Linked DNA regions of Bombyx mori. The protein of the gene in region 2 binds, or shares a complex with, the protein of the main gene of each other region. Links are inferred from orthologs where the notes say so. Each region holds a gene or a part of one and is shown on either strand. Other genes may lie near its edges. The genes, in order: NADH dehydrogenase [ubiquinone] 1 beta subcomplex subunit 11, mitochondrial; NADH dehydrogenase [ubiquinone] 1 beta subcomplex subunit 10.

Region 1 (2,878 bases), on a different chromosome or scaffold from region 2:
ATCACCAGTAATCTGGTTGGTTTTTGTTACAAGATGTTTTTTCTCCACCCTGAAATTTTATTGCGAACATGTGTTAGGTACATGTATCATATGGAAAATTGGTACCTCGCTGTCAGATTTAAACATCAATCTAGACACTATAACTCAATATGATTACACCTTTGAGACAGGACGACTTCATATATTAGTTGTTTAGATTTTTCAGAGCAGTCGTGATCACTATAATGTATATCAAAAAACTCTACAAGGAACATATGAGTTGTCTATTATCAAAGGTGGCATTCTGTGCATTTGGACAAAAAAATGTTATTGATATGTCAATACAGATTGATTTGAATTTAATCGTCTCCTTCAAAGAATACGGTTCAAAACCTGCATTAAATAAAGGTTAATACTTAACCTGTTATTTATCTAAAATGTCGTTCAGAAGAGTTTTGTAACTGCCAATAGAATACAAAGTCAATAATTTGTTTTTCTGATTTACCAATAATTGTCCAAAAGTCACATTGCCGGCTTTGATAATAGTCGACTCATATATACAAACATGACTTTCGTATATATTAAATTTAATTCATCCTGAAATATTTACACAAATTTTCTATAAGTATAAGTAATACTAAATGTATAGCAATCTTAGGTATTTACAATCTGTTTTTTTTTAATATGGCTAAATTAAAAACAACAAACTGTTAACATAACTTTACTATGTACTGAATTCTTCTACATATGCCATATGTATTGGATAGAGTGATTATATTTAGATGATTATTTCAACATCACACAACTCGGATTCATCAGGCAGCTTTATAAGTTTGGGATCAATAAAGTTGGGACTGATCGGTGGAAGACCTGCTTTTTCACGACGTCTTAATTCCAAAAATGCTTCACGCTGAGCCCAGTCCCTCATGTGTACATCGGGAGAATAGGCCCAACAGACACCACCAAAAACAATACATAATGTTACAGAAAAGAAAAAGGTGGCGTGATGGGCATTAGTGTCTTCTTCTTTGCTCGTATAGTCAAAACCGTAGCTAACCCAGTTCTTATCTTCTGTTTTGGTCTCACAAGCAGTTGTGGCGGTGTCGCTGTTCTTTTTAGAGGTGGAAATATTCCGACTTACTTTGTTGAAATGATTCCAAACGCTTCTTTGCACTAAGGGCATATGGCGTAGTTTTATCAAAGCGGCCATTCTAAAGACTACTATCCTCAAATTCACTGATTGAACTGTTCTTATTACTTTTAAATTATATTTATCTGACAATACATATAATATTGGCCAATTGGTTATGAAATCAAGAAAATTTACTCTTTTTCCACGATTTGTTTACGGCCATTGATCACCAGACCTTTAGGTTTCTTATAGTTTTCAAAATGATCAAGGATTTTCACAGATGATTAAGGACACTACTTAATCTTTGTTCGGGTCTCAGATTAAGACACTAATTATTGCCTTGAACCACGCCGCAGTAGATTTGTCGTATTTTTTCTAAGTCCGTAGACATGCATAGACATAACATGTAGTTTTACGTTCTACAATAGTTTCATCTACGCCCTAAAGATCCCTTTAATGGGTATACTTAATACTTATTTTACTAATAGTACACAATTCAATTAAATAATACTATTTAATACGGCAACAATATGTACTATTAGTAACAATATGTAGCCATACGGATGGATGGAAACGAATGCCAGCTTTTTACAACGGAAATTGTAAATCTGTAATTGAAAAAAGACCACTTGATTCCTATCACATTCTGTGGGAGTTTGAATGTTTAAGTAGGTAATGGCTTGTAGGTACTTATTAACTCCATGGTAATGGCAGACAACACTTGTCACTTAAGTGAAGTGACCGCAGCGCACCTTTCTTGAGGTGCGCTGCGGTAGTGTGTTACGGACTTAAGAGTCAGCAAAACAATTAAAATAGATAGTAATAGTCTAAGAAAAACACGTACTCAAAACACGATAACATTCAGCATGCTAGAAATGGGCAGATGGCACTGTACTACGCCATATCTTTATGTTTTGCGGCAAACGACAACTTTATAAAATCAGTGTAGCAACTTTTAAAAATCATCATATCGTTTACTTGGCAAATTCGAAGGATGAACTTGTCTTAGATTTCACACATCTAAATTATATCATATTTGCACATAACAATATACCTACTTACTTCCCATTAAAGTATAAATTCTACAAATAAATAATACTCAACAATATTTAAAATAAAATGAGCCAAGAACGTTTATCGATAAAACCTGATACATTGAAATCTTTTGTACAGCACTAAAACCGCCATGTTTTGTGGTCAGATGACGTCACAGTGGCACGAATTTTTGTTGACATTTCATTTCCATAGGTTTCCTACTTCAGTGAGGTAGATATAATTAAATGTTAAAACGTGGTTAAAACAGTTGATTGTCTTCTGTTATGACAATTGACTTCTCATCTAGACACGGACAGTAAAACATATTAGGGTTATATAAACATAAAATATTGTAAATGTTTAATAGCGTAATGTTCGTAATTCAAATTAACCATGAAGTCAGTGTTTTAAAATAACTCCTCACTAGACTTGCGCAAAACATCACTTCCCAATGTAATGTGAGATGACATCACTTTTACAGATAGGTGATATTACTCGAAAACATTACACATCACTCTTAACATTACTCGGTGCGTTCAATAGATACTGTGACGACGAATACATTGTATCTATACACCCGAATCATTACCTAAGTGATGTGTTGATACACATCACTTAGGTAATGATTGATTCGGGTGTGTCATTACAGTAGTGTATTACAATACAAAGTATGAACTTTGTATTGTAATACACTGTTATAATAATTGACAGAGATTGACTTACTTAATAATA
Region 2 (4,599 bases):
GGTCAAAACCCGGTCAGAGTAGGGGGGTTCCCGCGGTCAACACTACAACCAGACACGCGGCGCCACCCCGAGGACGCCCGACCGACGGGTCGTCGAGGCGATAGTCGACGACCAACGACGTCAGTCTCCGCGGTACGGCGGCCCTTCAGGCCGCCCGGGCGATGCCGCTGGTGTTCCGGGATACCCCGCTGGGCCAGAACCAGCCTGCCGGGTCGGAACGGGACGAAAATGCGGACCGCATCGCAGTCCGCAGCCGCCGACGCGTCGTCCCGTCCTCCTGGTGCCAGCGCGCTAGAGTGACGGTAGCGTGCGGCGCAGTCTCAGCCCCCTTAGGTCGCCCCGTGACCATCACCGGGAGGAGACTGCCTTCTCATAGGGGCTGGAGCTGGACAAACGCCCTCCTCCGAGCCCCGGCTCGACGGCGGCGGCACGGCGCCGAGAGGGAGGAAGAGTTCTCCCTCTCCCGTTCCGCCGCCTCCTTCTGCGAGATGGTGGACTCGCAGAAGTCGAAGACTGTTGAAGCTAGACCAGCCTTTCTGCCGCTTTTAACCAGCCAAGACTATTAATGTTCTCTGTATAATGGTTCATCACCACAAGAGTAAATGTTCTTACTAATATTCACAACAGGAGGCACAAGGTAGATGGACTACCTAACTAGTTATTTACTTACAAAAAATAAGGTTAGATTGGTATAAAATATTTAAACATAAACAGAAAATAAAGACAGAGGATTATGAATATTTATTGCAACAACAAGTTTTATCTACTATTTATAACTGATTTAAATGATCACTTTGTAAGGTCTGATAAGGGACCATTGCGTCGTTCCCAGACCATGCGATGCTTCTGCTTCATGTAAGCTTTTCGCGCATCACCATAAGCACCGAGGTCACCATCTGAAATCGAATATGAACAGTGTTTAAAATGTCATCACTGTATGAGAGCCCGCAATTAATAAGTTAACATAAACAATAAAAGAGTATTTCTTTCATGTCTTTATCATATGCCTATTTTCCAATTCTATGTTTTAATGCATTTCCGAATTAACAAATAGATACAAAAAATATAGTGGTGGAAATAGAAAACATATTAAAAATAATTGCAACATCAACAATATCAATACCATGATGTCAGTGACCAAAGACTTTTTGCTCAACAAAGGTTTATAGTACAGAGGCAGTGGAGTTTACTGCCATATAATGACATAGACAGCAATCCATTGATATTGTGTCACTTCATGAGACCAACTGACAAATATTAGATAATCCTACCTTTCACACAGGATCTCTGATTTCTTAGAATATTACAATCTATAATTGATATATCTGAGAAATAATGTTAACTCGATTTTTCAAGTATGTTATCTCTCTTATTAAAATAAATTAACCCTAAAAACAATCAGACCGGCCTTACCATTCTCAAGAAGGAAACTATAGGAAAATGAATGTTATAAAATTCAATAGTACACAGGGTTGAAGTTATTGTTGTCTAAAAGACATTTCTTTATATAGCTTAACATTTATACACAACACCTATTATTGTCCTGTTCCACAGAAAGTCATGCATTCTGCTTTGCAAGGTGGGGTGGCCTCTGCATAACCCAACAGATATTTTTTCCTTATATTTAAAAGTGGGTGTAGGGTTACTCATGCTGCTGTGTCACATGGTAGGCTCTGAACTGATCTGGTGCAATTAAAGAAAAAAATTGTAAGGTCCTTTATTTCATTCAATTCAATGCTTTTTACTTAGACATGTCATTTTTTTTTTATTGCTTAGATGGGTGGACGAGCTCACAGCCCACCTGGTGTTAAGTGGTTACTGGAGCCCATAGACATCCACAACGTAAATGCCCCACCCACCTTGAGATACAAGTTCTAAGGTCTCAAGTATAGTTACATATACATATATTTGATAAAGCATAATTAAAGAGTATCCCAAATTATGAATTACATACATTTAATGAACCAAGCTTCCTCAGCAGACTTGTACTTGTCCCAAAGAGACCTGCATTTAGTTGCATGGTCTGGTTGCTCATACATCATGCAATCTTCATAGCGTTGCCTAAGAATGCTTAATATCTCAGAGTCTACTGCCCTAAAATGAAATATATTATTATAATAGACTAGCTGACCCGGCAGACTTCGTGGTGCCTCAATCTATAAATAAAAGACCTAAACTTTTGTATAAAATAAACTTAAAACAAACAAAAGGAATCCGGCTGACAAGGGACACATCAAAGGAAAAACAACATTATTTTTATTTAGCTCCAAGCATTTTCATATTTATTTACCTTTTAAACCTTCTCTGGACTTCCACAAATCATTCAAGACCAAAATTAGACAAATCAGTCTAGCCGTTCTCGAGTTTTAGCGAGACTAACGAACAGCAATTCATTTTATATATAGAGATAGATAGATAATTTCACTTTCATACAACTATTAAAATTAAATGTAAGTCTATATTCAGTTATAGTTCTCCAGCAGTTTGAAGGAGGATGGAAAATAAATTCATGCCTAATACAACAAATTGAAGAGTTATTACAAAATATTTAATGGAACAATTGGCTATTTTCCAAAGACTGTCCGTTATTTTACCTAGTTACTAAGTAGCATATTATTAACCTGATTATGATATTAAATGAATGTGATTTAGCTAACCTGTCTCGTTTAAATTGAGCATTAGCCTCAAAGTCGCAAACGACGTCGTCGTCGTAGCACTGGTCAATAGTCGGTACACGACGGTAGTTTTGATGATACCAAGGGTACTTCTTCTGGTTTGGTTCGACAACAGTTTCTGCGTACAATGAAAAAATTACTCACTTACATAACAACACACTAGTTTTATGATATCAAATTAACCCACCTCGGAACCATGTTACCGGAGCATCGACTGTATTGTAGAGAGCATTGCAAAATGCTCTAAACACATTATCATCAGGAGGATTTCCGTCTTGTACCATATTAAAATTGAGATATCGTTGTTTAAATTTTATTAAATGTTATTTGTCTTCTCGCCCCTTCTCTCATCTGTCAGTTTTGACAGCTGTCATCTCGTTTCTCGCTTTAGTTTCATTTGACTATCGGATAGGCACAGGAAAATACACCCCAAACAGGTAAACCTTAATAACAAAGAGACAGCTCATTTCTATTGTTCCAATTCCCGCCAAAAAGTCCAGCCGTGTATTTATCAGTAATTTTGTCAAAAAAACTATATCAAGAATCATCCTGCAGTGACGTTGCTATACCATCTGAGGCCCGTGGCAAATCGGATGAGGCCCCAACATAAAATGATAGCGTTGTAATTAAATGTTAATAAAGTAACGAAGTAGTTAGGTACGCAACAGTATTACTGTGTACATTAGTTAAACGTACAAATTCTAAAATGAAGTTTCGTCATACGATTTCATAAAGCGTTTAAATCATATTAATTAATTTTAATTTGTATACGATCTATAATCATAATTAAATATAATTGGTTTTAAGACATTATGTTAAATATCTTTTTTTAAGTATATTTTGTTCAATATGTTACTTTATTTTATGGCCATGGCTTTTCCCAGTCCCGCCACCCTATATTTATTCCATATTATGGAGGGATGAGCTATTTTCAATAATATTATGCTTAAAATTTGTCACAAAATAATATTATTGTACAGTCTATGCTCTTAATTTTTGGCAGAATGTTGGGCCGCCAACTTCGCCAAGTGCTTGTTCTATGCGTATTCATTCTGCGGAGATTAGAATGAAAATGATGGTGAGGAATAAGTACCTATAAATAATAGTTTTTTCTATTGTTCCCTCTGTGCCTTCCTAACCCATTAATCCGATTGTGCCAAATTTTATTAATGCTGTCTAGTCAAGTCAAGGGGAGGTTTCTAGTATTATATGTCATATTTTTCAGAGAAATTCTACTTAACTAGGAATTGGAATGGAATTTGGCGTTTGCCGGGACTGTTAATACATTAAAATTTTGCTTTGTAGCGCTAGCAAACAATTCGCCGTTGCTATCGTCAGTCGGTATACACAAATAATTTAGCTATATATTATTCTGGTCATAATTAAACTTTTTTTTGATATTTCCATACATATTCTTTTTTTTATTTTTTAAATAAAAAAATAAAGAAATATTTACTAACAATCACGCCACGTTAACTAGTCCCGTGATAAGTTCGTAAAGAACTTGTGTTACAGGTACCAGATAACGGAAATAAATGTAAGATTTTTATTATACACATTCATATATTTAATATACATCCATAACCCTGGAAAATACATTTATATTTATCATACAAATATCTTCCCTTGGCGGGATCCGAGCCCGCGACCCCCTTGTGTAGTGACCATGTCACTTACCACTACACCAGACGGCCGTTAAATAATAGATATAAATATTACTTATAATTACATATAAATCAATACTTTTTTTCTCAAACAGCATTTATCTTTTATTCAAATTTTCCATTTGCATTCCGTTTAGAGGGATAAAATGGCGTTTTCCATTACATTCGACTACAGCGTTGCAGCGCCTTAATAACTATCCACGTACTGACGAATATTTAAGCTGGGTGACCACGCCACATTAATAAACTAAGGATATCTT

The links.
Region 1: the proteins of NADH dehydrogenase [ubiquinone] 1 beta subcomplex subunit 10 (region 2) and NADH dehydrogenase [ubiquinone] 1 beta subcomplex subunit 11, mitochondrial are in contact, whole or in part, in a cryo-EM structure (PDB 8BA0), measured with the Drosophila melanogaster proteins. The link is inferred for Bombyx mori from reciprocal best matches to the Drosophila melanogaster genes ND-PDSW and NP15.6. Residues at the interface, in NP_651972.1 of Drosophila melanogaster: Trp40, His42, Gln43, Phe45, Thr50, Ile51, Asp52, Ala65, Phe69, Arg70, Arg71, Met74, Val75, Glu78, Ile79, Ile82, Leu83, Arg86, Ala112, Asn115, Trp116, Ile118, Lys119, Ala129, Tyr133, Gln136, Lys137, His138, Arg139, Leu140; in NP_650774.1 of Drosophila melanogaster: Gln101, Phe102, Arg103, Trp105, Ala106, Gln107, Arg108, Glu109, Gly110, Phe111, Leu112, Glu113, Leu114, Val125, Ser126, Pro127, Asn128, Tyr129, Val130, Asp131, Pro132, Ser134, Ile135, Thr136, Leu137, Pro138, Leu143, Glu147, Ile148, Ile149.

The regions. Positions count from the first base shown.
Region 1 is NC_085116.1:8,701,118-8,703,995, reverse strand, and holds NADH dehydrogenase [ubiquinone] 1 beta subcomplex subunit 11, mitochondrial, read right to left. Parts: upstream 1,463-2,878; 5' UTR 1,190-1,462; coding exon 758-1,189; 3' UTR 685-757; downstream 1-684.
Region 2 is NC_085123.1:6,798,096-6,802,694, forward strand, and holds NADH dehydrogenase [ubiquinone] 1 beta subcomplex subunit 10, read right to left. Parts: upstream 3,015-4,599; 5' UTR 2,960-3,014; coding exon 2,863-2,959; intron 2,794-2,862; coding exon 2,658-2,793; intron 2,657-2,657; exon of another isoform or gene 2,467-2,656; intron 2,095-2,466; coding exon 1,955-2,094; intron 1,356-1,954; exon of another isoform or gene 1,230-1,355; intron 897-1,229; coding exon 790-896; 3' UTR 720-789; downstream 1-719.